4 linked regions of the Tamandua tetradactyla genome follow. The main gene of each other region encodes a partner of the protein of the gene in region 3 in a complex. Links are inferred from orthologs where the notes say so. Each region holds a gene or a part of one and is shown on either strand. Other genes may lie near its edges.

What was found.
Region 1: RBBP7 (region 3) and CDK2AP2 share a complex: the UniProt entries of both Homo sapiens proteins name them as parts of the nucleosome remodeling and deacetylase (NuRD) repressor complex. The link is inferred for Tamandua tetradactyla from reciprocal best matches to the Homo sapiens genes RBBP7 and CDK2AP2.
Region 2: RBBP7 (region 3) and EED share a complex: the UniProt entries of both Homo sapiens proteins name them as parts of the PRC2/EED-EZH2 complex. The link is inferred for Tamandua tetradactyla from reciprocal best matches to the Homo sapiens genes RBBP7 and EED.
Region 4: RBBP7 (region 3) and CHD4 share a complex: the UniProt entries of both Homo sapiens proteins name them as parts of the nucleosome remodeling and deacetylase (NuRD) repressor complex. The link is inferred for Tamandua tetradactyla from reciprocal best matches to the Homo sapiens genes RBBP7 and CHD4.

What each region holds. Positions count from the first base shown.
Region 1 is NC_135335.1:6,905,087-6,912,067, forward strand, and holds CDK2AP2 (cyclin-dependent kinase 2-associated protein 2), read left to right. Parts: upstream 1-4,239; 5' UTR 4,240-4,842; coding exon 4,843-4,924; intron 4,925-4,931; exon of another isoform or gene 4,932-5,067; intron 5,068-5,249; coding exon 5,250-5,350; intron 5,351-5,437; coding exon 5,438-5,570; intron 5,571-5,942; coding exon 5,943-6,010; 3' UTR 6,011-6,465; downstream 6,466-6,981. UniProt on the Homo sapiens protein: Acts as a component of the histone deacetylase NuRD complex which participates in the remodeling of chromatin.
Region 2 is NC_135334.1:58,090,589-58,098,326, forward strand, and holds the start of EED (polycomb protein EED), read right to left. Parts: upstream 3,011-7,738; 5' UTR 2,890-3,010; coding exon of another isoform or gene 2,869-2,889; 5' UTR 2,506-2,868; coding exon 2,392-2,505; intron 1-2,391. UniProt on the Homo sapiens protein: Polycomb group (PcG) protein. Component of the PRC2/EED-EZH2 complex, which methylates 'Lys-9' and 'Lys-27' of histone H3, leading to transcriptional repression of the affected target gene.
Region 3 is NC_135353.1:158,098,063-158,105,524, forward strand, and holds the start of RBBP7 (histone-binding protein RBBP7), read left to right. Parts: upstream 1-4,454; 5' UTR 4,455-4,469; coding exon 4,470-4,636; intron 4,637-7,462. UniProt on the Homo sapiens protein: Core histone-binding subunit that may target chromatin remodeling factors, histone acetyltransferases and histone deacetylases to their histone substrates in a manner that is regulated by nucleosomal DNA.
Region 4 is NC_135333.1:68,890,024-68,898,022, forward strand, and holds the start of CHD4 (chromodomain-helicase-DNA-binding protein 4), read right to left. Parts: upstream 3,016-7,999; 5' UTR 2,890-3,015; intron 2,309-2,889; exon of another isoform or gene 2,097-2,308; intron 2,044-2,096; 5' UTR 1,966-2,043; coding exon 1,866-1,965; intron 1,650-1,865; exon of another isoform or gene 113-1,649; coding exon of another isoform or gene 100-112; intron 1-99. UniProt on the Homo sapiens protein: ATP-dependent chromatin-remodeling factor that binds and distorts nucleosomal DNA. Acts as a component of the histone deacetylase NuRD complex which participates in the remodeling of chromatin.

The sequences.
Region 1 (6,981 bases), on a different chromosome or scaffold from region 3:
TTATGCATTTATAGAACAATAGTGTATAAAATACAGGATTCCTATGGACGGTGTGACAGTGGCTCAGTGTCAGAATTTTCATCTGCCATCCCAGAAATCTAGGTTTGATTCCTGGTGCCTGCCTATGCAAAAAAAAATATATATATAGGATTCCTATACACCACCCTGTTAACATCTTGTATTGGTGTGGAGCAGTTGTTATAACTGATGCTAGAACATTTTTATAATTGTAGTATTCACTGTAGTCCATGCTTTCACATACGGTTCACTGTTCGGGTAGTGTCAGTCCATGGATTCTTTTTTTTTAATTTTCATTGTCACATATATGAAGTTTAACATCTCCCCTTTCAAATCACATATTTCAGTGCTGTTAATCACATTCACAGGGTGTGTTACCATTACCACCAAACTGAGTAGTATTTCACTGAATGGATGCAACACAGTTTATTTATTCACCTATTGGAGGAAATCTTGGTTCTTCCAGTTTTTGGTGATCATGAATAAAGCCGGTATAAACTTTTGCATGCAGATTATCACGGGGACATAAGCTTTCAAATCATACAATTGCTGGATCATATGATAAGATTATGCTTAGTTTTGTAAGAAGCTGCCAAGTTGTCTTCCAGAGTAGCTGCACCACTTTGCGTTCCCACCAGCAACAAATGAGAGTTCCTGTGGCTCTGCAAACTCACCAAGAGTTGGTATTATGTTTTATGGATTTTAACCATTCTTAAGGTATCATGGTATCTCACTGCTTCATCAACTTATTTTTCCTCATTTTATTACAAGATTTTTCAAACATAATAAAACCAAAAAAACTGTACAGAAATACAATGTTGAGTTTTATAGTCACAAGGTAAGGCAACAAACTCATCTGCTGGCTGGACTGAGCCTGGGGGCTTGTTTTCAGTGTCTGGTTTGGAGGCTATAATGCTGCAAGGCTCCAAATTGCAGAGGGTGAGCTAGGAGCCTGGGGTCTGAGTGGAGAGGGGACTCCCTGAAAAGTTCCTCCAAGACCACGCCACAGAGGTCTGTGCTATCTTCCCCCCAGGGTAGGAGTGTCCCTACCAAAATTGTCATCTCTGACCTCCTCAGGGAACTCTGTGCTCCTTCTGCTATGGCCCAAGGAAGAAGGATTTGGAAAACTGCTTGAGGGCAAGGTTCAGCCCTGCAGTCACCTCCTGGCATGTCCCTCCTGCCAGACACCGGCAGTGGAGAAAACGGGAAAGCCTAGGCTTTGGGAGAAGAGGCAGAGCTACTGGCCCCTCAGTGGCCCCCTCCCCCTATCCCTGCAGAACTCCTTCAGAGCACAGCCTCTGTGCCACTGGCAGGCTGGGGAGGCTCTTGGGTGATACATGATCAACACTTTTTATTTCTATAGTCAGATACTTAGTTTGAATATGAATTACAGAAGAACTTGGCTAGTCTTTGTAATTAGTCCCTGGGAGATACCCACTAACTCTTTGGGATTTCCCCTAATAGGACTGTCATTTGCTATTCCTGCTGGGCCCCAGCCTACACCTCCGAGCATACATTAACAAGATGACTCAAGGTGGGGCCAGGCGCACCTGCGGCTTTATTACGGGGGTCACCGAGGTGATTAGAGGATTGGGCTTTGAGCCAGACCTCTGCAGGTTAGAGGGCGGCAGCTGGAGACCAAATTCACCCACCTGAACCTTGATTCCATCAATCATGCCTTAAAGTGTCAAAGTACACAGAGGCAATTAGAAAACCTTATTAAACCTTATTTGGGTAACAAAGGATTAGCGAATCAGGCAGCACCAAACCAAAAGTGTAAGGAGGGAGTGGAAAGGGGAAGCTTATATAGGGCACAGGTGGAAGCAAGTGAGACGTTCTGATTGGCTGACATTGTTAGCATTTTATATGGGGGGGTCTTACAAAAGTGGGGAGCAGATAGTCATGGATTAGTATGGTATGCCTGTACATTCTGATAAATTCTCTCTACTGGACAGAAACTGGTTTATCACCAGGTGTTGCTTACCTGCAATCCTGCAAGATACCTTTCCTCATTCCATTTTCTCGGAAAGCCCCTGCAGGTCAATTGTTTTATCTCTGAAAATCCTTTCTTGGAAAGGGTCCCCTCCTGGCAACACCCAATGCAGGCGGCCATTTAATTTTACTTAACCTAAGTAATGAAACTCTGAAAAAAACTCTGGCCAGTGAAGCTCAAGTGAGCTTCCCTGCCTGACAAGACTCTGTTGTGCAAGGCGAGTGATGTGTCCTGACTCCACAGGGAGAGGACGTGAGCGCTTTGGCATCTGGCGACCTCCCAGACTTTATCCTATGTGTCTCTTATTTGTATCTTTTCCACTATAATAAAATTGTAATTGTAGCATTTTCCTGAGTTCTGTCAGTCCTTCCAACAAAAGGTAGAACCTGTTGTCAGAACCCCTGAATTTGTAGCCAGTTGGCCCAAGTGCAGGGGTCCCTGGAACCCCTGAACATGTGGCTGGTGTCTGAATTGCCACCTTGGGGAAGATTGTGCTCTTGGGCTGTGAAGTCTCATCTGACTTCGGATAGTTAAGTCAGAACTGCATTGTAATTAGAAAACTATGAAGTACACTGAGCTCATAACTAAACTGATATGATTCCTTTTCCTTTTAAATTTTTTTAAAAAGTGAATTGATACAAAGGAAATATTAAGTAGATGATGAGACTTGAAAATGTTTCACAAAGACTAGAACAGATGTTCAACACAATGAATAATAGACGGTTATATGGGGAAAATGCACCTGCTGCAAACTTCGGACTATAGTTAACTGTAATATTTTAATACTCTTTCATCAACATTGACAAATGTACTACACCAACACTATGGGTCAATAATATGGGATGATACAGAGTATGGGAGGATTAGGGTTTTCTTTTTATTTTCTGTAGTAAAGAAAATGTTCTAAATTTGCTTATGCGGATGAATGCAGTGTTAACCAGTGACTGTACACTTAGGATGGTATCTATGTTGTGTGACTATATTTCAATAAACCGGCATTTAAAAAATATTTCACAAAGGACTGAAGTTAGAAAAACATTGGGTACAGATTAAATTCCAACTTCCTTACATGTTTGCCACCTGAGATTCCTCTATCATTACAGCCCTGCCCTTGCTTCCCAATTATCCCCACAGCAAAAAGAAATGACTTGTCCAATCACTTGTGCTTCCAAACTCTCAATCCTTTCCATGTGCCAGGCCCTCTACCTGGAGCACCCCCCTCCTTCTCTGCTCCCACCACCCACCTTGGGGTCTTAGCTCAAATGCCACATCCTCTGGGAAAGCTTCTGTGAGGTCACCAGGTAGGCCCCTTCCCCTTGGCTCCAATGCTCCAAGGTCTGGGCTTCACCGTGGCCACTCCCTTAGTGTTGTCTGTGCCTCTGCTTTCCTATCTGCTCCTCTTAAGACTAGGAGCTCCTTGAGGACAGAGTCTGCAGCTGGTTCGTCTCTGTATCCTCAGAGTCCAGTGCAAGGTCCGGATAGGGAAGGGATTCAGGAAATGTTTGTTGGATGAGTGCATGAACACATGTCCCGGAGATGAGGGAAAACCTACAGACCTAGGGGCGTGACATGTACACCAGGCCAGACAGGTTTTGGGTGGAAGGAGACTGGGAAAAACAGGAAGGGGGGTGGGAGGGTCTGAGACTTGGGGTTTGTGATAGATGAGATTTGAGTGGGGTCGCGTAAGGTAATGAAAATGTTTTGAGGCGCTTAAATGGGATAGGGATAAAGGAACAAGAAGAATAAAATCGTAAAAGCAATACAAATATTCATTGAACCCACACAATAACTCCGAGAGGTAGTTTTCATGACTCCCCCACCCCCGTCCCATTTCACCGACAGGCACAGGAGATGAGCGACTTGGTCAAAGGGAAACTGCTAGTAGGGAAGGTGCTGAGATTCGAACCAGGCAGTGACTGCACTCGGTCCTGTCAGTCACTCCTCTGGTTCAGAGCCTGGCACGCAGAAAGTGATTAAGGAGGGGTTACCTGTGACTGCTGCTGTCATTATCTGCGGCAGAGGCGTGGGGGCTGGGGGGCGGGTCGCGGGGTCTACGGGTCGTCCTTACACCGACCACCTACGGACGAGCCAATCCCAGGAAGAGCCGCGGGTCGCGGCGTTGGTGCTGGACTCGTTGCCATGGAAACAAAGGGCGGCAGCAAGCGAGCGCATGCGCAGATTGGGGAACGGGTGTTCAACCGGCGAAAGGTGACGTAAAAGCGCATGGGGTGGGGCGGAGGAGCCGGGACGTCAAAGCCCTGCGTCCTTCGGCATCCGGAGAGGAGAGGCGCGCTCGGCGGCGGCGATAGCGGCCCCAGGTGGACCGAGTCTCGGCCGGAGACCCGGAGGCGTGAGGTTGACGTGCGAAGCGGCGCGGGAGAGGCGGGCGGACAGCGCCCGCGCCCGGGAGGAGCCACTCGACGCGAACCGCGGCGGCCCAGACCCGGGTCCCGGTTCCCGAGGCCCCGCCCCTGGGGCCGTGGGACTAATCGGATTGAGAGCGCGCTGGCCCGGGCCGCGAACTCGCCAGTTGCGGAGGGCGCCGCTCACTACCCAATCCGAGGCAGACAGGTGCGAGGTCCGGAAGGCGGCGGCCAATCGGCAGCGGTTGCGACCTGTGGGGGCCGGTCTCGGCCAATAAGGAGGCTCGAGTGACATCTTGGCGCGCCAATCGGGAGTGAGGGAGCGGTCGCGCCCGCCCGCCCTTCCGGCCCGAGCTCTATTTACCCGGGGCGTGCAGCCCACTTGCCAATCAGAGCGCGGCCGAGCGGCCGGGCAGCCAACCCCGGAGGAGCCGCCGGCCGGCGTCCGCCAGCACCCAGGAGTTTGGGATGTCCTACAAGCCCATCGCCCCCGCCCCCAGCAGCACCCCCGGTTCCAGCACCCCCGGGCCCGGCACCCCGGTCCCTACAGGTGAGGACCCAGCACCACCCCTGCTCGCCTCCCCGGCCGGTCGAGGTCTCGAAGACAAGACGGCCTGCGTTCTGCCATGCTGGCGCCGCCGCCTACCTTCCCGCGAGCCTCAGTTTCCCGGCCTGTGAAGTAGGCGTGGTCACGTAAGGGCTTGTAGGTGGAGCGCAGGGGGAGGGGTTTGTCCCTGAAGTTGAGCGGCCTGGAATGAAGTTGTCCCCTTGGAGGGATTCGGGCGAGCCCGGTCGGGAGCTTGAAACGCTGGGAGGAGGCGTCCCCGCCCCGCGCTGACCGCTGACCTCTGACCTCTTACTCGCGCGTGTTGCAGCCGGCAGTGTTCCGTCGCCGTCGGGCTCGGTCCCGGGAGCCGCAGCCCCCTTCAGACCACTGTTTAACGACTTTGGACCGCCCTCCATGGGCTACGTGCAGGTGAGTGCGGCCGAGGGTGGGCCTGGGGGTGGGGGGCTGGAAGCCCACCCTGGTTGGATCTCACTGCCTTGTTCCCTTTTGGCTCAGGCGATGAAGCCCCCCGGTGCCCAGGGCTCCCAGAGCACCTACACGGATCTGCTGTCGGTCATAGAGGAGATGGGCAAAGAGATCCGACCCACCTATGCTGGCAGCAAGAGCGCCATGGAGCGCCTGAAGAGAGGTAAGCGAGGCGGGGCCCACCCTGCCCTGCCCAGGAGAGGACACGGGGCAAGCCTCCTTCCTTAGGACAGGAAGGGCTACCGAGGCCACCCAATCCAAGCTCAGCACCCATCTCATTACCCAGAGAGGCATTCTGAAATGAATGGAATTGAACTGAAATCAAGTCCATTTCGAGGGAGGGACCTGAGAACTCCTATTTTACCAGGGTGAATTTGAGGATTGGCCAAACCTCTAATCTCATCCAGCTTGTCGTTATAGACTTCAATCCCTCTTACTGAAGGGCAGAGGGTGGGGAGCCAGTCTTCCTCTGGAGGGTGGGGGTGCAATTGGAGCGTCTCCGGGGCCTGGTGTTACTTCCCCGCCCCCACCCCAGGCATCATCCATGCCCGGGCCCTAGTCAGAGAGTGCCTGGCTGAGACAGAGCGGAACGCCCGCACGTAACAAGAAGCACCTCGTCTCGGCGTCTGGACCTTTCCTGGCCACCGCAGAGCACCTGCTTCTTCCTGGCCTTCACCCTGAGTTGCACTTCCCATCCTGGGCTTCCTGTCCCGTGTCCCGTGGTGGGAGCCCTCTGGGAGGCAGGAGGCAGCTCCCACTCCAGTCAGCAGCACTAGCTGGGGCCCCTGGACTAGTTAGCAGTGAGGTCACTTGTGAGGCCCACCCATGACCTGCTAACCAGGTTGATCCAGCGGGAGCTTTCCCCTTCCTGGGGCCCCCCCACTTCCCCAGCACTGAGAACCACGTTGTCCCTGCCCCCCTTCTCCCCACAGCAGGCCTTAAGAAGGCCTGTCGACTCCCTACCTTGACTCCTGGGCTATAGCGACTTTTCTCAATGTGTCTTTTGCTAAATAAGCCCTTTTTGTATAAATAAAAAGTGATTTGGAGTTGTTCTCTCAGCTCTGAGCCTTTCTGGGTCCAGTTCTTCTAAGCCTAGGGGAGCCTGACAGCAGGGAAAGAGGAGACCTGGGGTTGAGAGGAAGTGCAGGGGTGGGGGGGTGGGTTGAGGCTGAGGCTGGCTAAACTTGGCCTTGCCTCTGCTGCCCATTGCTCCCTGGGTGGGGCCTGGTCCCAGGCCTCAGACCCTCAGCCTTGTCTGTCTACTCTTAGGGGACAGATTTGAGTTCCAGGAACGGAGAGCCCTGCCTATGCCTTCGCACTGTGCCGCCAGGGGGCAGCACAGGGCCTTGGCTGCCTCCACAGCTGGAGGGCACTGCCTGCCAGCCTGGGCCTGGAGCGTCCTGCCCCTGGAGTGTCCTGCCCCTGGGTGGAAATGCCAGTTCACCAAAGCCTCTCCTCCACAGGCCTTAGTGCCAAAATGTCCTCAACTACCCTGAATCCATCTTTGACTCTTCAGCGTGGGAGGTGGGAGTGGAAAGTATTCCTGCTTCCTTTCCCCAGCGCCGCCTTCCTGG
Region 2 (7,738 bases), on a different chromosome or scaffold from region 3:
AAAGTTCTTTTTAATCCAGAAATAAAAGTAACAAGCTCCAAGGACTGGAATGAAGAGGGTCACAAATGTTAGACCTAAATATACAAGACTCGGAAACAAACAAGGAGAAAAGAAAAAAAAAAATTTTAAGTAACACTCAACACTCAAATTTTTCAGAAATTTCAAATCCAAGATCCACAAACTGACAAGGACCAAAATATCTTTCTAACTGAAAGAATTAACTAACAAAAAGAATCTTTCCCATCACTTCACTGAGAAATTAGGTCACAATATCATGCTATATAATATGCCTCAGTGTTTATGATGTGGAATTTAGGAACTAAATGTGTAAGGTGCAAAAATTCCTAAAACTAGTCAAACTGACAAAATGAAAAATTTACACGACCCTCATACAACACCTTAAAAAATTCTTTAAAATATTCAGATACTGCGATACATTATGAGAAGAGGGCTCAAGGGCTGTGATTCTTGAGTAGCCCCGATTTTTGAAGACGATTTTATGACGATATACCTTTTACAACGTGACTGTGTGATTGTGTCTGATGCTCCTTTTATCCAGGGCATGGACAAATGAGTAAAAAAATATGGATAAAAAATAAATAGTGGGGAGTTCCAATTGGGTAGACTGAAACACTACTGGTCAATGAGGGGAGGAGTAAGGGGTATGGGATGTATGAGTTTTTTCTTTTTTTCTTTCTGGAGTGATGCAAATATTCTAAAATGATCATGGTGATGAATACACAACTATATCATTGTATTGTGAGTCAATGATTGTACACAAAGTAGGAATTGTATTTGTGAAGATTTGCCAATAAAAATATTAAAAAAAAAAAAGAAGAGGACTCAAGGGCCCACATTTTGTAGTAATTTGAGTGGACTATCTTAGAAATTTGCTGACTTCACTTTGGGATATAAATTTAAAACATGAAACATTTAGATACTAACATTTGGAAACTCAGAGAAATAGGAATTGCTATAAAATAGCTATCAAATTTTTGTTTTCCCACTTTCATGAAATTTATAGTTGGAAAGCAAGCTATAAGACTGAGGGAAGGGGGTGTAAGGGAAGTTCAGTGGTAGAATTCTCGCCTGCCATGCAGAAGACCTGGGTTCGAATCAGGCCCATGCACGTCCCAAAACAAACACAAACAAGCAAACAACAAACAAAAATTCAACAAACTGTGCTGCATTAACGGGATACTCACATGGAAAAAGAATGAAATGTGACCCCCTGCCATGCAGCTACAAAAAAAAAAAAGATTGTCCAACCAGTCCATATTTCCTCTAAGTCCTTTGGTGTGCAAGCCAAAATAATATTATCCTTTCTAAGGAATTCTAATTAAATCTGAAACATCCACATCCTCTAGTTATTACCTGGAAATTCTAAGTATACGCTACTTAAGCATCATTCACTCCTACACTTTTTTATACAGTCATCCTTCTTGTTTGGCGCACACACACAAAACAGAATTTCAGTTTTAGTATTTCCAGACTGTTTTTCACTCTTCAATCTACATTTATTAATGTCAATTTAGTTCCTACTGGCTAGTCACCTCAACTTAAGTTTAGTTAACTGCTGGGACTAAGTTACCAAAATCCATCTCAGAACATTAAAAAAAAGCTAATTCCAAAAACCTTACACTCTGCTAGAGCCAGGAGCCCATATAATGCATATATGCTTTTATCACCATTGCCTATTATCCTTCCGGTCCTCCTCATCTTAAGATAAGGACTTTCAAAGGAGAGCCTTCCTTTCTCATTCCTTCCCAAAGGTCGTTCCTCCTCCAAGTCAGACCAAAATTCATAAACCCTGCTCCTCTGGCAAAGACATCGACACTCAACACGCTCTCCACCAGGTTTGCTCCAGGACAGAAAGAGGTACAAAACGTCCTTAAAAAGAGTCACCCAAACCCCAATAAGTCGAAGATTTACAGTTCCCATCCTGGAGATTCTATAAGGGCCTAAAGAGTGAAAGTGACTCCAAACTCCTTTAGAAGAGGCCCTAAAAGACTCTCATCCCCCTTCCTAATCTCTAACATGCCTTTTAAACTACAGGAATCTCAGATTCGCACTCTCCCCAAGTGTTTCGAAGGCCCAAACATTCTCCATCACAGGCAACAAGAGCTCAGAACAGACCCCTCGGAACCGCTCACCATCATCCAAATACTCAAACTACTCCCCTTCGCAAAGTTTCTGCTTGCCCTCGATCCCAGCTCAAAACCCCCATAGAGACAAGTTCGATTTTCTCCTCCACGCCCGCGTTTTCCGGAGCAAAGAGTGACACCTCTCCCTCCCCCAACAGAAACCCGCAAGCCCCCGGACGTAGAGTTTAAGAAGAATTTTAAACTTTCATTCCAGAGTCCCGTCCAGACTGCTTGGGGTTGTACTCACATTCTCGTCTCCAGAGAGGTCAGGGTTGCTGTTCTCGTCGCTGCTCAGCTTCTGCTTCTTGGCGGCAGGCATGTCTGTTCCCGCCGGCGCTGTCGACACTTCCCTCTCGGACATATTCCTCCGCCTCCCTCCAGTTTCCTGCCGCCTCGAGCGTGGCCTCCGCCACACCGCCGTCAAGCAAGCCCGGCCGGAGCTTGCCGCAAAGTTGCCACTGCCGCCGCCACCTCCACCGCTCCCCCCACTGTCGCAAACTGCGCCCAGCCGCCGAGGCGGGCGTGCGTGCGACCCCGCCACACTGCTGAAAAAGGGGCGCGCGTGCGCGCCCTCCCGCGCGGCTTCCTGGCTCCTTCCCTTTCCCTACTCCCGTTTTGCCCTTTTGCCGCCGCCCTCCCGGCAGCTTGCTTAGAGAGGTATGATCCGTTGGCTTTCCAGGGCAGTAGTACTTCGTCCGTCTCCTTTCCCCACTACCACCTCGTAATGGAGAGGTGGGGCTCAGAGGTATGCTCCCTCACCCTCTTCCTCCTACCAAAGCCGTTTCAGCCGCAATTGGCCCAAATCTTCGATCACCGACCCGCTGCAGGGTCTCGAAACTCTGTGGAATGGACTAGACCACAAATGTGCCTGGGAACGGGGGGAGATATAAGAAGTCGCCTCTTGCTTTAGCGGTGTATATCAAGTGTCATTAATCTCGAACTCGGAGGATAACACTTTCAGGTAGATTACGTAACTGTTCATAACGTAATTTTTTACTGAATGTAGAAATTCCAAAACCATAAACTGCTTCCCACATCTCCCCCCCTTAGCAAATGGAAATTACTCACTAGAGACGCGCCTGCGCGAGAGTGTATTCTCGCGCTGTCTTGCTCCGACCCGCCTACTCCAAGCGCCTCCTCTTTTCGAAATCTTGTTTGTTGACCCAGGTAGTTTTCCACCGCTTTTCCATAATCCGGGATGGATTTCAAAGCGTTACCAAATTACAGTCAATGATTGCTTCGTAAATTCTTGATGAATATTTATTCTGATGAATACTTATTGCGATGGACAATTAACCTCACCTAGTTAGTGCCAATATCAGGTAAGGTTTAAGTAGGACTATCCTGAAATCATAATATGATTCTAGACCCTAATGAGTTAAGCCGAAGGACTTTTTTTTTTACGGCTAAATGGTTGTCAGGGTCGATCAAATCAGTGGTCGTTTTCAACTATGTGATTTAGACGTCGCACAATATTTTATTGGCACATCAGCTACAATAAGGAGAAGGCTACAAAACTTATAATTCACCAAAATATTTGTCTCTGTTAGTGATACCATATCTGGGCTCTTGACATGTACCAAATACTTTGAGGAGCCTTATGGATTTGTAAGATGAGTTATTAAGCCGTGTAACTGAAAAAGCAGCAGGAGAAAAACAATGAGAAAGACGGCAAGAAATAAAATTTATCCCCACTTCCTTCCCCATCTCCCCCCCCCCCCTTTTTTTAGAACACAGTTGTGATTATCTTTTGGGCTTTCAATTTCCTCATCTATAAAAATGAGGTGGGAAGGAGCCTAACACTTCTGGAGGACCTACCTGTTGTTAAATACATTTTCTTCTTTAGACCTCGTTACATCACCCAGTGGATAACCAGTCTAGAACGCGGTGTCCATAAAATTCTAGTATATTTGAATTACTTTCACGTGATCCCTTAATAGAATATCAGTTTCATTATCTGCAGATTGCAAACCATTCTCCTTTTGGAGATAAAAAGAAAAATCTTGTTTGAGAATGAGAAAAGCAAAGTATAGCAAAGACGGGGCAGAATAAAAGGTTTTGTAGTGAACTTTCAGAAAAAATAAGGAAGCTACTTTAAAGTTCAGGTCTTTCTAACAAGAATAATTGCAGTTATTCGCTGAACCCTTTAATTTGCTAGGTACTGCAAAGCACTCCTCAGTTGGTGAGGAGAAACGAGACTGTTATGAAGTCAGCCCACTGAGGAAATAAGATGTTCTTTGGTGTGACATTTTCATTAGCTGAGGCTTACACTCCTCTGTTGAAAAGGCTGTTTGTGAAATACAGCTATATAAGTAAAGGATAAATTACCAAAGAATTTTAAATCCAATTACTTTGTCTAGAATCTGTGGGAGCTGGGAAGTGGGAATCAACTTCTAGTCATAAACTACAAAAAGTGCTGAACATTTGGATAAGGGTACATGTGAAAAGAAACTGCCTTTCAGCATGCTTATTATATATAACAAAGCAAGAAGATTTAAAAAGAGTCCATTAAAACTTGGAGGGATGTTAAAAATCTTTTTCTGGTGATTCATAGGTGATAAATGGAAATTAGTTACTATTATTACTGATTTAAGATACGTAAAATATCACGGGTATTCTATGTATAGCACTACCTTTATGGTATTAATTTAATAAATATGAAGTCTAATTACCTGTTAAAAATAATAAATTTCTCAACACAGAATTCTCCTACTGTGGGGGATGTCAGGAACCATTTCAATTGGAGAGGACTTAACCACCTGCAATTTATGAATGAGGAAACTGAGGCTTAGAGTGATCAGTTTGCCTGAAGACACCCAGCTCTTCAAATGGCAAAGCTAGGGATCAAGTCTGATAGACTCCAAAGCCAAAGTACTTTTGCTAGCCCAGTGGTATTTTTGTGCTATTTTTAAAAAGTCACCCTTTTGCTGTGTACTTTGAAATTTATTGCATTTTTGTGTGTGTATATGTTACTTTTTTGCGATAAAAAAATTTAAAAGCTACCCTTATAGAAATAGACCAGAGTACTCACGGTTTGGCAAACAGACTGTGGCTTTGATGAAAGAGAAAAGGGTGCTTTTTCTACCAGGTTGACACAGCCCAGCACAAACTGATTTGAGTGCCACTTGTCACCTCATCTGGGGACCCTTTTTTGGTTGCATACACAGTAGCCCTACAAAAACTTCCGTGGACTCACATGATAAAAGTTAGGGAGAGTTTCCTTAAAGAACAAAAGAGTGAGAGCTGACAAAAGAATGGGAGTTAACCAGGTGAAACAGAGGAGGAAAAACATTCCAGGGCAGTAATATAAAGCACATGCAAAAAGGCTCTGGGGCTGGGTGGGGCCACAGCGTCTTTGGAATACTAAAAGTTCAGTGCTATTGAAGAACTGAAAAAATGACAGGAATGTAGTACAGGGAGAAGCTGCAGAAGTAGGTAGGGGGTCAAATCATGGAAGGCTTGTAGACCATTTTAAGATCATTATGTTAGTATATATCTCCTGCTGATAAGATTTATATAGACGGAATTAGAATGGCATTACTTTATTTTAAAATTTTATTTATTTTATATACAGTGAAATGCATGGACTCTTAAGTATATGGTTCAGTGACTTTCAATGCAGACATGAGCCCATGCAATCCGCATCCCGTCAAAATATAGATAGAACCTTCCAACACCTCAGAAAGTTACCTCATACTTCTTCTTAGTCAGATCCTTAACCTCCACTCCCCAGGCAACCACTATTCTGATTTCTTTCACTATATATGTAAGTTTTGCCTATTCTAGGACTTGATATAAATGGAAAAATTCAGTATGTGCTCTTTTGAGTTTGGCTTCTTGTGCTCAACATAATGTTCTTGAGATTTATAAAATGGTATTAACTATTAAAGATAAATACTGTCTAGATCAATGATTCTCAAACTATAACAGGCATAGAAACATGGCTAGTTCATTGGACCCCCATCCCCAGAGACTCTTGATACATAGGTTGGGAAGGGGCACCTGACTGCATTTCTGACAAGCTCACTGGTGATGCCTATGCTGCTGATCTGTGAGAGCCAATAGACGGTTTAGAGGATAAAATCAGAAATGTCTTAGTAACAGTTTCTAGGAATAAATCAAAACATCTATCTATTCCTTTCGTGAACATTTTTGAAGTGCCTGTTACATACTACACACTTTCCAAGTGCTGGGGATACAAAGGTAGATGAAACGTTATGCCTTCCTTCTAGTAACTTTGTCTGATTAGGGAAGATAGAGATAAATCAAATAGTCTTTCTAGTTCTCTTAGAAGTCTGTTCACTAGAAAATAGACAGAATCCTAAAAGAGAAAAAGTAATTTCGCTTTCCAAAGTAGACAAACCATCAAGAATAAAAGCAAGACATTAGGGCCAAGATTGTGGCTTAGCAAGGTGTGGGATTTAGTTCGTCCTCCAGAGCAGCTAATAAATAGCCAGGAGCAGTACACAACAACTGCTGGGGCCATGTCAGTGACTGGACACACAGTGTACCCCAGTCTGAACCAGCTGGACCAGGTACAAGCACCCCCCCCCCAGAACCGTAAGTTCCCCAAGCCTCGGTGGGTTGCACCCCTCCCCCACAGGCTGCTTCCCAGAGGGGTAAGGAAAGGGACTTTACCAACAGCAGGGGCTGAGTACAACCAAACTCCAACTGTGGAGTTAACAAATTCTGACTACTAAAAATAGGCCCCCAGCTCAACTGAACCTTGAGTAAAAGTGGAGGTCACTGGTTTTTGCCCTGGTGCAGAGGGGTCATGGCTGACAGAAAAAGAAAAACAAAAAACACGTTTTTGGATTTGAAAAGGTCTGGGCCCTGAAGGAGAGGAGGGGGCACATAGGACCTGGAGATACACACAGCAATATATCAACTTTAGCACTTGATTGGCAAACCCAAGGAATGGGGTCCTGCTCTGAAAAAGATTTTTCTCTTTCGTTTTGGTGGCTGTGTTTCTATGACTTGACTGCTCTTTGGATATAGCTGCAAACCTTCTCGGGCTCCACTGCCCCAGGCATAGGCAGATTAAACTTTTTTTGAGTGTTTGTCTGGAGCCTGTGCCTCCCCCAGGAGAGGAGTGAGGGTCAGCTTAGGTGGAATTCCTCCCTCAAGGAGTTCAGACCCCAGCGTCTGGAAAAGCAAAGCAATTAAAACCAGACTACAACCTCTCCTCTGTCTCCACCATGCCCCCAGCAACTTCAACTGTCCACCGAAGTTAAAGGTACCACATCACCTTATGCTGTTGGGACCCGCAGGCAGACAAGCACCACATACTGGGCAGGATAGGAAAAATGGAGAGCCCAGAGGTTTCATAGGAAAGCCTTTCAATCTGCTGGGTCTCACCCTCAGGGAAAACTGATGCATGTGTCTCTCTCCTCCTGACGGGAGACCAGTGTGGTCTGGGAAAATCTGGCTGGAGTCTGTAACACCTAAGTAGACCCTCCTGAGGGGAAGAAAAAGGCACCATACAGGCAGGGCAAGAAAAAAGAAAGCAAGAACTGAAAAACTCTAATCTGTTAAACAAAACCTAAGTTAGAGGTCCAGAATAAGCCAAACTGAATGTCAAAGAACAGATAGAC
Region 3 (7,462 bases):
CTCTTTCTGTAATGTGCTTTGCTTTTATACTAAAACAAATAATAAAGAAACAAGATCTCTGTCTTATTCATCCCCTTTATCTCCATATCCAGCACATTTCTTGGAACTCCAAAAATATTTTCTGGAAGGCTAAGATTTTCACTCTAAACTAGTGAGATGGAGTTGTTAATAAACACAGCATTACACTACAGCTATGCATGGGTATAACTTCTCTCTTCTTTTAGTGAACGGTTCATTCTATTAATACGTGATCAATTCTCAAAAATTTTGCTTTCTTACTATAAGACTGATCAGATTCAAACTCCAATCCAATATCCACTAGCAATGTGACAACAAAGATCTGCCCTCAAATCTACATTCTAGTGAGAAAGCCATGATCAAACATTTGTCAGATGGTATGACAAAACAAGTGCTAGGGAAAAATAATAGACTGAAGGGGACAGAAGATGACTTCAGGTGGGGGGTACATGTGGGGGATCAGAGATGGCATAAGATTTCAAAATATACTAGTGCAGTAATTTTTGAAAATCTCAAGTTGTGACTAAGTGCGATCATGAAATCAATTTAGAGGATGAGCTGCATAGTTTTAAAAAAATGAAATATAAAGATACAGAGCCCATCACATATATTAAAGGTAAGCACTGTTTTGTGCTTGTTCCAGTTAACTCACACAGGTACTAGTCTGTAAAGCACTGCCTGGCATGGAGAAAGGCGTGATTAACTTCTGAACTTTGAAGGAAAGAGTCTTAGAGAAGGGTACCTCTCTCGGTTAGGATAGTCACACCTTGTGCCTGCACCTGTTCATGTCTTACTCAATTACATAACGGACTTAGCTGGGTGCAACAGAGACAAAAAGACAATGCAGTAAAAGAGGGAAAAAATATCAGGATCAGAGCTAAGAGGTAGGGGAGAAAGGCAAAACAAAACTAAACAGTTAAGCAGTTCAAGAGAGAGAACTGTTTTCACATTTTTCCAGGCAAAAAGTACCCCATAGGAAAAACACCAAAAAAAAAAAAAAAAGCGAGAAATAGGATTGACAGATTTAACAACAAAAACAAAAATCACCAAAATCCAAAGCTAATCATATATGCTATACATGATAAGTGCATGACACTCGTAAATATTTTTAGAAACTTCCCTAATATCTGTTCCATACTCCCTGCTCCTATTCTCCTGCTATCAAGATTTTAAAGCCATACAGTTTGGAAAGGTTTCTCTTTTTTTCAGCCCTTTAAACATTTAATACATTTTGAAAATCATGCCTACCCATCAGGAATGACTAAATTATATTAATGAGAGACTGGAAATCGTCTGCCAAGCCTTCCCTGGCCCTGCAAAGGACGGGGTTCCCACTGAAGCAGGGCTGTGATACAGGACTGTTCTAGAACAAAACCAGCAAACTACAGTTCGCTGCCTCGTTTTCCTATGGTCCATGAGCTAAGAATGACTTTTACATACTTTTTAATGGTCGGGAAAACAAACCAAAAGAAGGAGAATATGTTGTGGCACATGAAAATTATATAAGGGTGCACCAGCGGTTCAGTGGTAGAATGCTCCTGCCATACGGGAAACCAGATTCAATTTCCAACCGATGCATGCCAAAAAAGGTTATATGAGATTCACACTTTAAAATATGGTGAAAATGGCAAATTTTATATTATATACACGTGATACCACAATGTAATTTTTAATTACATTTAATTCAAATTTCGGAGTCTATAAAGCTTTATTGGAACACAGCCAGGTTCATCCATATTGTCAAAGGCTGCTTCAATGTTAAAAGGGCGGCAGAGTTGAACAGTCAACCGCAAGGCCTAAAATATTTACTACCTGGCCCTTTATAAAAAAAAAGTTTGCAGATCGTGTTCCTAGAATACAAGGGCCGTACTGCTTAATCACCCTTCCAATCCTCTTCCCTCTCTAGCCACCACTCCAGCTTTAGTCAAGAACAAGATTGCTGTGCCTGCCATGGAGGGAGGGCGTTATAATAATGAATTGTATCGAAACTTGAGACATAAGACTATAACTTTCTATATAAGGCCATATGAGTGGTTCTGCCACCAATTAGAGTAACTTCTGGGTTCGTTTCCCGATCAGAAAAGTGTGCATCACAGCAGCAGCTGCACCATTTCGTTTGAACATCACCATGGTCACTTGCGTGCAGGCACTTGGAAACGTATCAAGGCAACAAGTGTTCCGAGGGTGTTTTTGCAAGGCGGAGCGTCTCTCCGAGTCTGGATATAGACTGCGCTGCCCTCTGCAAGTCTGCACCTCCGTCGCTCCCCGCCCGCTCCCCTCTACGTCCAGCCCTCCTTTCAGTCTCTCACTTCCCCTTTCGGCCCCGCAGCCCGCTGGCTCCACACCCACCTCCCTCCCCCTTTCCTCAGAGCCTACCAAGTTGCCCGGGAGCACCGGGTTTAGGTAAAACCGGCCCGGGTCAGCCCGGCCCAGCACTGTCCAGTCAGGATGGTGGGTTGCCCTGGGACCCCTGCAGGTGGTAAGAATGACTCAGCAGGGCCCAGGCCTGGGCCCGAGACGCGAACGACCCAGCCCGGGGCCCAAGTCCCTTGCACTACGAAAAGGCCGCAAACCATCATTTGTTCTGGGCCCAAATACCCCAACAAACGGAAATTTAATTCGAGTCCGTTTCCGACCGCTGTGGCACCAGAGTCAGGCTGTCTAGGCCCCCACAGGCCGCACGTTTAAATTAACAGGGCGGGCACGGCGACTACTACAGCCAGAAAATGCCTGGGGCCTCTTCAAAAGGTCCCCTTCGACTCCCACAAACCGCACCCCACCCCCACCCCGGGCCGACCTCGCCCGCCAGAGGGGGCGGCGCGCCGGCCCCGGGAAAGGCCAGCGTCTGCTTGGAGGAGAACCTTTAGGGGTGCACTCAATCGCATGCCCGGGACTACCAGGGAAACGCACTAATTTCTTGAGAATTGAAAACAATTCCTAAAACTCTGGCCCACAGTCCCCGGCTTGCTCCCGCCCCCAAAGATTTCGCCCGGCTAGGCGGCGGCAGCCTCCCTGCCCCCTCTCCCTTCCCCCCACCACCTCGTTTCAGACAACCACGCCCCGCAGCCCCAGGGCTCACCGCCCCGGGGCCGCCAGCCCCCGCGCAGCTGGGCACGCCGCGCCTCCATTCGCCCCGCCCCCGCGCGTCCCCATCCACCCCCGCGGCCGGCCCTGGGAGCGCCAGGCGAGACCTTGCGCCTGCGCGTCGCCAACTTCCTGCCGCGGACCTCCCCGCCCACCCCCAGAGTCCCGCCCCCGAAAGCCGCGTGAAACCCGCCCGCCTCACGCCATTGGGCGAGGCGCAGGAGCCGTTGGCTCCCAGGCCCGCCTCCCCACCGCCTCTCACTTTTCCCAGGCGGATGCGCCTGCGCCCAGCAGCCTGGGCGGGCTGAGAGGCGCGGGTTGAAAAGTCTCGTTCCAAGTTTGGAGAGAGAGAAGCGCAGCACAGACCTCGGTACCCGCGAGAGGGGAGGAGGCAGGAAAGAAGGACGCGGCATCTGGGGGAGCACGCAGGCAGCAACGGAGCTCAGGCTTCGGCAGCTAGAAGTGCGTGACGCTGCTGGGAAAGGCAGGAGCGCCTGCGGTTGGGCTGCTCTCGACTAGCGAGGGGAGTCCGAGGCGGCGGCGAGGGGCGAACGACCCGACGCAAGATGGCGAGTAAAGAGAGTAAGAGGCCCTGCGGGGCGGCGCGCGCCGGGGCTGCGGGGGGCGGCGGGCGCGCGAGGCCGCGGCACGCGCCGGCGAAAGGCGCGAATTGGCGTGCGGAGCAGGGGGCGGGGCCGGGCGCCAGGTTGGGCGCGCGCCTCGAGGGGCCTGCGCGGGACGCGGCCGCGGCGCGGAGGGTTCCGAGCACTTCCGGAGCCGGGCGCGGGGCCCAGGATTGGGCCCCCGGCGGCTGCGCTCTCTTGGGCGCTCCCGGCATTGGGGCGGAGGCGGCCGCCACCGGGCAGCGGGGACGGCGGTTCTCTCCGCACGCGCGCGTCCACCGCCTTAGGGTCGCGGCCTCGGCCGCGGGGCCTCTGGAGCCGCTTGGCCTATGGCTGCCCGCGCGGGTATCGTGGGGCCTCTCCTGGTGGGGGATGAAGGGAGGGGGCTGATGGTTTTCTGCTACGTGTAGATCTGTCTCCGAGTGGGTTATAGGGATCCTCTAGATCCACACAATCCATCTCCTTAGAGCAGGTGCGAACAGCTGTAAAGGACAAAACAATTCCTAAAATCAGAGGCGGTTTGGCGTCCCTGTTACTATCCTATTCTGTTTGCGCAGGAGATATTGAGCTCAAAGTGCAAAAAATAAGCTTTCTGGCATTAATATTCTGTCCACGTTCTGGGGGAGCAGTTTTTTGCCTCTAAAGTAAAGATAAAGGGATAGATGAGAGGTGTGGCCATCTCGAGGTGACCTCTCCAGTACCTGTGTACAGTTTCTGACTTCGGTCTCTCAGCCACTTAATCGTATGAGCTTTCTCCAAATTTCAGTGTTCGAAGATACTGTGGAGGAGCGTGTCATCAACGAAGAATATAAAATCTGGAAGAAGAATACACCATTTCTATATGACCTGGTTATGACCCATGCTCTTCAGTGGCCGAGTCTTACCGTACAGTGGCTTCCTGAAGTGACTAAGTAAGGGTTTCTGGCAACTTTTATTTTGCAGAAATTGAAGTGTCGACCTGAATTTCTTAGCGTTCTATACCTAGAATGTAAGCTCGTAATCATTAGCCCTTGGATGAGGTGGTAGGTGGTTTTTATTTTTAAAGTTGAAGTGACTTATGGGATGAATTCTGATGTATACGCGTGGCATTAAAGGGGGAGAAAGGCTCCTTTGTGAGAATAATGATGTTTTTAGGAAACACTGAATATATTGAATGGTCTTGGGCTGAGATATAGAGCAGCATCTCTCGGGGCCCTGGACTACTGCATTTCTTTCAAACTTTATTGAAAGCATGCACACAGAAGATGCACAAATTGTAAATGTAATTTTTTTTGATGAATTTTTACAAAAAGAACACGCCCATGTAGCTGGCACTCAGGATAAACAGTTTTGATTGGCAAAGGGAAAAAGTTTGGCAACGGTTTCCTGAAGAAAGGCTGTTATTGTCTTAAAATATAGAATATACTTTGAGATTGCTGTTAGTTTTCATTAGAGTGTTCTTTTTAGCTAGTCCTAAAATTTCTCTGGTAATAATTGCTGACATTTATTGAATGCTTAGAACAGGATCTGGCACATCTGAGAAGTTTTACGTCCTGTTATTTGGTTTAATCCTCACAAGGGTACTACAGTGCATAGGTGCTTTTATTATCCTGTTTTGCTGATGAGGAAACTGAGGCTGAAAGGTTAAAAAACATGCCCAGGATCACCTACCTGATAAGAAGTGGGCTTAAGAACACAGACCTGATGGCTCCAGAGTTCAGACAACCTCTGCACTAGCCTGCCTACCTTTCTCATGTGCTTGCCCTTTTCCTAGCAGAAACTTGACTGTAGACTTTAAAGGTGTATTAATTTTGGGTATCATGAGTACATAATTTAATGGGGGTTAAATCAAATAATCTATAAAGTGAATTTTTGTGATAAGTTATAAAAATAATTTTAAAGTTGTTTTATGTTCTATTTTATAAATTATTACTTATTTTATAAAATTATAGTTTTGTGAAAGATTAACTTATTTTGCAATGGCCAGATTCTCCGTGTGCAAACGTTTGATTCCACACAGATAGGGTCTCCGTTGGTGTTCCTAAATGTCTGAGTGTAAATGTACAGATACAGGAAAGGTAGCCAAGAACTAGTAATGAAGACTTCCGAACACGGGCATTTTGTAACTACCTTTGATAGATTTCTAAAATAGATTGAGCGTCATATGCTTAAGGGTATTTAGATTCTGGTTTGAAGCATCTTGTGCATTTGACTCTGTCTTCCTGTTAAGCAAATTCAAAACTTTTCCACAACTTAACGTACCTTACCTTGCATCTTTTTGACCTGTAATATTGTAGAAAAAGCCGGGGGCTTTCAGTTTAGAGACCTGGGTTTGAAGATTGCCCCTATTTGTGACCTAGGGCGAGTTCAGACTCTATCTCCACATAGTCTGGACTGTAAATGGAGATGCTGGTAGTATTGACCGCCTACACTTGAGGGAATTAAATAAGATCATCCATATTGAAGTCCTGGTGCATAGTAAGCACCCAGTAAACCTGTTGTGGTAGCTGATGCTGATTTTCCCATTCCTTCCCCTTTGTTAGACAGGGTGGAAATAGTTCTGTGTTTCTCCGTTTGAATTTCTGTGGTAGTGACTAACTAAAATCCATTTTAAGCATTGCCAGCAATGATGTTTTGCTTATAGGTTTTAAAGATAAACCTATATGTTCCTCTTGGGTTGGACAGATTACTTTTATATTCACACTTAAGAACTTACCAGAAAATGCTTTAACTAAATTACATATTCTGTGGTGTTCTTCACATACAAAGAGGTTGTGGGATCTGGTTGTGGGAAGTGCAGTGGCTCTGGGAATGCAAGAAAATGCCAGCCAGCCTGCTTGCATTCTTGGATGTTGAAGACTGCTCTGTGGTGCTTTTAGCAGGGTTCTGTCTGGGATACGAAGGGAATATGATTGTGTTTTATCACTAACAAAACGGTAAAAATGTTGGCTATGTTTCTTACTGCCTGAGACCTTTAGCCCTCTCGTAGGTCTTTCTTCTTCTGCCTACATACAACATGTTTTCTATTACTTGAACTTTCTGAGTTGGTATCCTTAAATTCATTTAGGTAATTGTCCACATAGTTGATTTGGCTTTTTAAAGGTTTTATTTTTTAAAGTTCATAGATCATTATTTCATATCTTGTTAAGTAACTTCTTAATAAATGTATTGAGACTTAACTTAGTTTCTACCTAAAGAGCTTTTGCAGTCTATCAAAGTACGCAAGTATATAGAGTGAAGAATAAATCTCCCTTCCACGTCCCCTATTTTCCCAGCTCCCTTCCCCAGGGCAGGGACACTCATTTTCAATTTCTTAGCCATCTTGCCAGCATATAGAAGTGCGTATTTATCTCTTTTCCACCTTTTTTTGTGGTAACAGGTTGTTCATGTGACTTTTCATTAAGAGTGTATATTGGAGCCTTTTTCCTATCAGCATGCTTAAATAGGCTTCATTCTTTTCAAGGGCTTCATAGAATTCTATATGTCATCAGTTCCTTAGTGATGGGTATTTAGGTTGTTTTCAGTCTTTTGTGACTGTGAACAGTGCTGCTGAGGATAATCTTGTAATAAGACACATTTCTGTGATTGTGAGGTAAATTTCCTAGCAGTAGAGTGACTAGATCAAAGGATTCTGACACTGAAGAAGGGGACAGGCTCTTTTACCATTAGTACTTCTGCAGCCTTTAGGTACATCCAGTGTTAGAGGAAAAGAGTTTCCTTTTGATTATTTTAGAAAGTAGGCTTGTGTTTTGATGATG
Region 4 (7,999 bases), on a different chromosome or scaffold from region 3:
TCAGCCTCCCCCAACCCGTCCCACTCAGCCCAGGATCAGGCCAGGCACAAGAAAGCCCCTCCCATTCCCTTGGGAATGGAACACCAGCCTGGATCTCACCAGAAAGAATCATTTTCTTAAGGGCTTCTCCCCAGCAATCCCCATGTCACCCCCTGAATCAGCTACATCTCGGTTCTTCTTCTTCGCCACCTCCGTAAAAGCTGTAAGTAGAGACAAGGGCAAACCCATGGAGGCAAAGGGGCCACCCTTACATTCCACATGCGACCCCAAAACTTGTCAGGCAGACAATATGCTGATGTGGCAAGTGGCAAACTGGCTGAGATATAGACGAAGATTTGGGAAAGGGGCAGGAATGGGGTGTGGCAAGTGGAAAAACTGGGTCATACTACAGCTTGGGGCAGAGTTCACGCTGCACAGCTCCCAGTCAACACTGGGCTGCCCCACACCAAGTGACCAATGGGAGGCCAAGAGGTAGAAGCAACAATGGCTCAATAACATTATTAATTCTCATGCCCCTCACAGAAAGGACAAGCTCTCCTACCACCACAACCACTCTACCTTGGGCAACAGCACAGAAAGTTACCACCCTACCCAACATAATGATAAGACTCAAGCCTATGAGACTCAAGCCTAAGTTTTCTATCTCAACAACTGAAGTCTCAGAAACATGCAAAGAAGACACCATGGCTGGTCCCTCGCTTTAGTGACCTCTGGCTGAGATGAAGACTTCCAACTTAGAAAATGCCAAATGTGGAAGCATGTCTCCCAAATCACCTCAACTTCCGGCTGGAGCTAAGACAGAAAACAGAAGTGAAAGACATTAGATGGGAAATATAAACAGGATCGGCAGGCTCCAGAATGAGGAGAAAAAATATAAGCAGAGAGGCTGAAGAAATGGCATGTAGCAAAAACAAGCTAGAAAAAAGGTCAAGGACCAGTAGGTAACTTAGCTAGGAGTTCTGAAGAAAGGAAGACAAGAGAGATACCCACTTAGGAGCATGAGATCAATCATCATTTAAGGATAGACAAGGTTATAACCATTCGAGTTAGGCCAATCCAAGGAGCCACCCCAAAACACAGATAACACAACCCCCAACACACCTACATAAACACTGCAAAACACCCCAACCACCCCAAACCTCAGGCTACTTACACAGTGGCAGACACCCCGAGGAACAAAGCCAGAATTATGTCCACTTGCCAGAGGAGGAGGGGTGCCCAGGGTGTCGCCTCCCTTCTTCTGCCCCACCTATTTTGCTCTTAGGGCTATTATATCATCCCCTAGCCCCCATCTCCGCTCAAAACATTCCAGCAATCTGCCTGGCTATAAGCACTCTAGATCCCGGCTGAGGAGCGCAATTCAAACTTCACCGTTGAAACAGTACAGAAAGCCAGTGACTGATCAGAAGCTAAAAATCAAATAGAGAGTAACCAGCACTCTCTCCTTCCTTTCCACAGTAGCAACCATAGGATCCTACTAGCACAGATACACACATGCCCCAATCTAACAGCTTCCAGGGGTCCCGGCTACCTGCATTCCTCCAAGGATCCCCACATGTAATCATGCCTGCCAGTCTGCAGCGCTCTCTCCATGGGGAACTGCATAGCATTCCTCAAGACCAGTGCAGCAAGCAGGCATCCACGCAGTCCAAGGTGCCCAGGAGGCACATGGCTTCCACCATCCCAGCCCCCCACCCCCCACCCCCCACCCCACAAGAGCTCTGCAGAAGGGAACCGCTTCCTTCCAAGGCCCTCCACCTCAGACTCTGCACAGAAAGACCAGAAACTCAGCACCGCTTCACCAGAGTCAGCAGGGAGGACCCAAAAGCCTCCTTCCCATCCTGGACCCTTGGGGATGATGTTACCTGGGTGGGGTGGGGGCAGGCTGTTGTTCAAAAGTGCATCCATATCCTCCTCTTCACTGCCCGCTGAGCAGGGGGACGGGGAGCCCAGGCCCGACGCCATCCCCTTCCGTTCCTGGCCAGGGAATTGGCCCAGCTGCTCCTGCCTGCGGCCTGGGGCCCTCGACACTGGCCCGAGTCACTGTGCGGGGGAGGGGGGAAAGAAAGAGAGACAGTCAGTGACGCGCACTGTCCCCCTCCCCCACACCCACCCGCTCTTTCCGCCCACCAGCTACAGCAGCACCCCCACCCCAACACCCGAACCACTCAGGCTGAACTTAGTTCCACACTCCTCCTCGGGGGCAGCCCGGAAGCCAGCTCCCCAACAGGAGCCCCCAGATGAGAGGGAGCGACGCCCCCGAAGGCAGGCTGGTGCTGGCGTGGGGAAGGGAGAAACAGGGCTGGACCGGGCAGGGTGTGACGGGGTGGGGGTGGGGGTTGGGGGCGTCCGAGTGGCCGCGGCCGGAGGAGGCGGGCGGCGAGGCGCTCGGGGACACAAGGTCACTTGGGTGGGGGGGGCGCTTTCCTGCTCCCGGGGAGGGGCCAGTCCCCAGACAGGGCAGCTCTCCAAAGGCTGTCCTCTGGGACAACTCAGGTTCTCCTCAGGAGCCGCGGGGACAAGGGGGCGTGGAAGCTCGGGCGCTCCGGGGGTGCTGGAGTCAGGGACGTGGGGGCAAGAGAGCCCCCAGCGGGAAGGGGGCCGGGCCACGTGTCCCGGGGGGCAAGTGAGCAGAGGGCGAGGGGACCGGCGCCGGGCATTGTGGAGGACCAAGCCCGGGGATGAGGGTGCGGGAGCGAGACTTGGAGCCGGCTGCGGCGGGAGGAGGCTGGGCACCCTGCAGGGAAGGGAAAGGCAGGGTCGGCTCCCCCGGACAGGGGGCGGTCCACGGGTCTGGGGGCGCCTGAGGATAGAGCGGGTGAAGGGACGACCCTCGGGGCTTGCCGGGCTGCGAGGCGCGTCTCTCTAAGAACCCCGCGTTCTCCTCACCCCGGAGCCGCTGCAGGTCGCGTAGGGTCCGGCCCGGTGTCACTCCCGCTCCAGCTCCTCCTTGCCGCGGCCGAAGGGGGGAAAATGGCTCCGGCTCCGGCGTCGCCTCTTAAAGGGCCCGAAACACCGGCCGGGAAATCCCACCGCACAGGCCCCGCCCCCCCGCGGACAGCCCATAATAACCTCAACCAACTCCAACCCCCCCTCCACTACCGCTACCCTCCTCCCTAGGTCTCCCGGGCAACCCCCGCCCCCTCGTCGCTCAGGCAACCATTGGCCACGCCCCCTTCGAGCGCGCGCGCGCGTGTCACCCGGGCAACCGCCCACCTCTTGGCCATCCCATAATACACACGGACACCCACCCCCGACCCCCACACACACACATTACACACACACTCCACACATATATATGCCAGGGCTGCTGACATCCCATAATATTGCAGACCATTTACAACTAACCCTCTCCCCCCCAGACATCCCATAATAGCCATCCTTCTGCCAACTTCTTCACTCTTCACCCTAATACTAACATCCCATAATAATCGTCACCTCTCCCTCCCCGTGGCCATCCCATAATAAGCACCCCTCCCAGCACTGGAGCCTTACATCCCATAATACTCATACCCATCCCCCACAGACATCCCATAATAACCACTCTTCATCCACCCCCAGTTTGATATCCCATAATAGTCAGAAATTCACCCCCCTACACACACTACAACAACGGACACTGGGCCTCCTCCCACACATATCCCATAATAATCAGTCTCCCACTTTTTCTACTGACATCCCATAATAACCAACCCCCTAGAGCTGCCCTAGGTCCCTGCCGGCTAGGGTCTAGATAGATCCTTTCAACACCATCCCCATCCTTCATGCTCTCACTCTAGCTCCACAGCTTATAACATCCACTCCTCCCCTATAAAAAGTTCTATCCCCTGATGATCAACAGCCCTACCGCCACCGGGCAGGTGGGCATCTAATCACCTTTCCCCTAACACTGGAAAGATTTCCCATAATTTTATTCCCCCACTCATACCCTGACATCCCATAATAATTGCAAGCAAGGTGCCCTGGGTCAACCAGTGGGTACCAAAATACTCCCAGCACTACTCAACATCACTTTCCACAATGCTTCATCTCCACCCCACCACTCCTATACCCTTCTGCCAGGCATCCCATAATATTCATGTTCATCCCTCCCCATCTCCTGAAGAAGCTGTCTGTTCTAACACCTAGAGTACAGAGGGCAAAGCAGATTACCCACACTGCCCTGTCCCCGCCCAAAGTTGTACACACTTTCAGCTCTTTCTGGGCCAAATCAGTACCCTAGCATAAATCCTCTTAATGTCTAGAACCCTAGTTTTTTGCTTCCTGTTATTTCCAGACAGACACTAGAGATCTGAGAGCCAGCATAGGGCCCCACCCAATCCCACTAAAATCCAGGTATACTCCATATTCATCTCCTGCCCTTAAACGTTGAGTAAAACTGACAAAATACCATGCTTGCCAGATGAACCATTACATAAAGTTTAATTCACAACATGGCATCCTATAATAAGTGCAAAATCACATCCAAAGACTATTTTTCAACATGCCAGCAATGTCATTGTCTTCCCATCATGATGTGAACGAAGACCAAGAGCTAGGACCTGCTCTCCTTCTACTTACTACTTACTACTATTTGTGTTCATTCAACAGATGTTGACAGAGCACAGAGCTCAGCACAAAGGGGGATGCAAAGAAGGCAGTTGATGCCTCCCTTTAAGACGCATTACCAAACAAGCAAACTGTGACACAAGATAGAAATGTTTTGGTGTCAAGGAAGAACGACTGAGTGCTATTTCCCAATTTCCCATTACAGAGAGTAAAACACATCCCAACTCGTCTCAGGACAGATGCTATCTTAGTGGAGGTTCTTGGGGGTCCTTCTAGAGTCAGGAAGATATTGAAAAATATTACCATGTAGATGAATGGCCAAAATAATCTCCTAACTATTCCCTACACACTGAGAGATTTTGATAGGAAGGCAATGCTTCTCCATTTACCACTCCTAATACAAAATTCTATAATATCATCGCGGGTTTTCTTCTTGAGAGACTCATCAATATTATCAACCATTACCTTCATTCTTGAACACCAAATTCTGCTTACCCAGTAAGTCTCATATTTTTCAACCACTTTCACATTTGATATTCTGAAGTCTCACAATACCTCCAATTGTCCCTGCCCCAATCTTCTTGAGGCCCCATTCTCCACCTAAAGACCTTAGTTGTATAATGTTCACCGTACCTACAAACATCCCAGGATGCCTTCCTCAGTCAGTTATACTACAAGGTAGCCTCCCAACATATTCCATTTTCTTCCTTACCTGCCCCTACCCTCTAGCCACCCTGGGGCCCCAGCCCTGGAGAGTCAAAAGAGCTGTTTTAAAACCTTTTGGCCCTCGGAGACTCTGAACCCATAAGCCTGTCACTTTCCCCTCCTCCCAAGCCCCAGAGATGTAAGACCTGAGCGAGAACCAATGTTTCAGCACCACTGTCTTGGGGTACCAGCCCCTTCCCTTAAGCCAGAGATAGTGTCTTCCTGGACTCCCATTTGTCTTTTTCACACAGATCATAACTTATATAGGGAGGACAGTCTGAAGAGAAACTAGAATTCCCTCCTAGGAGGGTTCCTTCCCAACCAGAAGTAAATGGGATGACTCTCCCTCCATCTCTTCATTGCCCTTATTTCCCTAGAGAAAGGGCATTACCAGATGATTTTCCCCTCCTTTGGAAACTTAAGGACTGGGAAAACTGGCAAGTAGAGATGAGTTGAGGAGAGGTGAGAGCTTGTTTCCAGAATTTACAATCCTTTTGCTTCCAAGCAGAGCACCAGTGCTGCTGCTAAGTCTTCCCACCTGCTCCTGCCTATTTTGTATAACCACCAGCATTCCGTGTTTCACTCTCTTCTCACCTTAGGACTGGAGTTTTCAACATCAAAGACCTCAAGTCTTGGCACTCACTACCACCTTTGTAGTTCCTATATTCTTTTTCTGACATTTGCTCCAACTCCCTGGACACTCTGTTACCATACCTATTGTAGCATGCTTCCACTGCATGCAAGGCTACATAGAATCTCTCTCATTAAATTCTCAACATCAAGATTAATCCCCATTCATTTTTCTAAACTGTTCCCCATGCTTATACCAGACACTAAGAATGAATTTTGCACTCCTCACTAGGGGGAAAAGGGGCATCTCCCATAAAATGGCTAAATATCAGTTTACCTCTCTTCAAGGAAGTTTCTCCTTTGCATTTAGAGCTGCCAGATACCTATTTTTGCCCTCCTCTCTCCCTGTTCCTCTAAGGGATCCAGCCTGTTTCTGGACCTCAGCTTCCCTTCTGTAATATCTCCATCTACCCAATACCCTTTTCCATATATATATATACCACTTTACCACAGTGATTCACAATAGAAATCAGAGTTTTCGAAGTGGGGACTCACAGCCTCTTGCCCATGATTAGAAATATTGTTCCCATTTACCCACTGTACTCCCTCTACCCCATCCCTGCAGGTACTACCTACTTATTCTCTCCCTTCCCTTACTTCCCATTTCCCCAAAACCACCACAAGGAGAAGGCTAAAATCTCTTCCTCTCCTAGCAAGGGCTAGGATATATGTTTGTGTGTTGCTTTTGTGGTCTTCATGCCTCTATGCCTCCCCCTCCCTCCCCTGGCCCCATACTACCCTCCCAGATAAATTATAAATAAACCACCAGCTTGATTGGCCCACAGAGACCAAGGGTGGGATAATCTCCTGATTAATGCACCCAGGGGGACAGCCTCTCTAGCCCGTTACCTTAGAGTTCTGTTTGCATCCCATGGTACAGAAGAACCTAGAATAACACTCCGAGTGAGTTGCCCATGGAGTTTTCAGCATATGCTCTAGATTTCCTCCCCCTACACCTCTGATTTGCGTGAGACCAGGAAACTCTGTTCATGAGACGGAGGCCTAAGGGGCACAGTGTTGGGCTCCATGAAGAAAGGGGGATTGGGAAGACAACATCAGGAAGAAAAGCCACAGGGACAGTAAGCTCTGATGGCTAGACAGGATACAGGTCGTGTGGGGCTTGGGAGTGACAAGCCAGGCATCTATCCTTGTCCTTGGGATGTCAACCCAGCCTCTTTTCTTTGGATCTGAATGCATGGTAGCATAGTATCTCATGCACAAGCTTCCACCTGAGCAATGGTCCCAAGTCTCAAACCCAGGAAGGAAAGAGGAAGGGTGTCCTTGGGTACTGTGGTCACCAGGTGCCCTTTGGTGTGCCACACAGCCAGAACCCAGGACTCAACAACCCTGTTGCCCATGAGCTGTGAAAGGACCCAGGTGTCCAGAGTTCAAATTCAGCTAGCTCCAGCGAGCCTACCCTAGTGGCCCCTCCAAACAGCTGTCACCAAAGAAACCTCTCCAGCCAGTTACTCCTGCCAGGCCTCAGGTCTGCCTCCAGGGCTCACCCCACCCTCCCCAGCTTCTTCCCTCCCTCTTCCTTCCTTTCCTTCCCCCTCCCCCGCCTCCCAGAGCTTCACCTACCCAGGGCAGCCCCACCCAGCGGTACAGGGCACATCCCATAATATTTCTTCTCCTTGCTAGGCCCCCCCCCAACAAAAAAGAGAGAGAGAGAGAGAGAGAGAGAGAGAGAGAGAGAGAGAGAAGCGGCCATCCCATAATAGCCACCCACAGGAGACATTCCGCGGTGACCGCCCCCTCCCTGCAGAGCTGCCGGGAGCAGCCATCCCATAATAGCTGGCCGCCTGTTTTACTGGTTATGGCTGTGGAGGGAGCTGGAGAGGAAATGAAGGGGAGGGGGGAGGGGAGGAGAATCAAGGGCCCCCCCTTTGTGGAAGGGAGGGGGAAAGAGAGTGGCATGAGGGGACAGGGAGCAAAGGGGACGCTGTGCAGGTGGGAGGTGCTATCTACTGGCCACCACAACCCTGCTTTCTCCCCTTTCCCCAGAGACCACCTTGCCCCCTCAGCACCCTAGAAGTGGATGCTAGTTATGGGAGATGGTTAGGATGGACTGAGGTGTCCAATGTATGTGCATGTCTTTGTATGTGCAGATGGATTT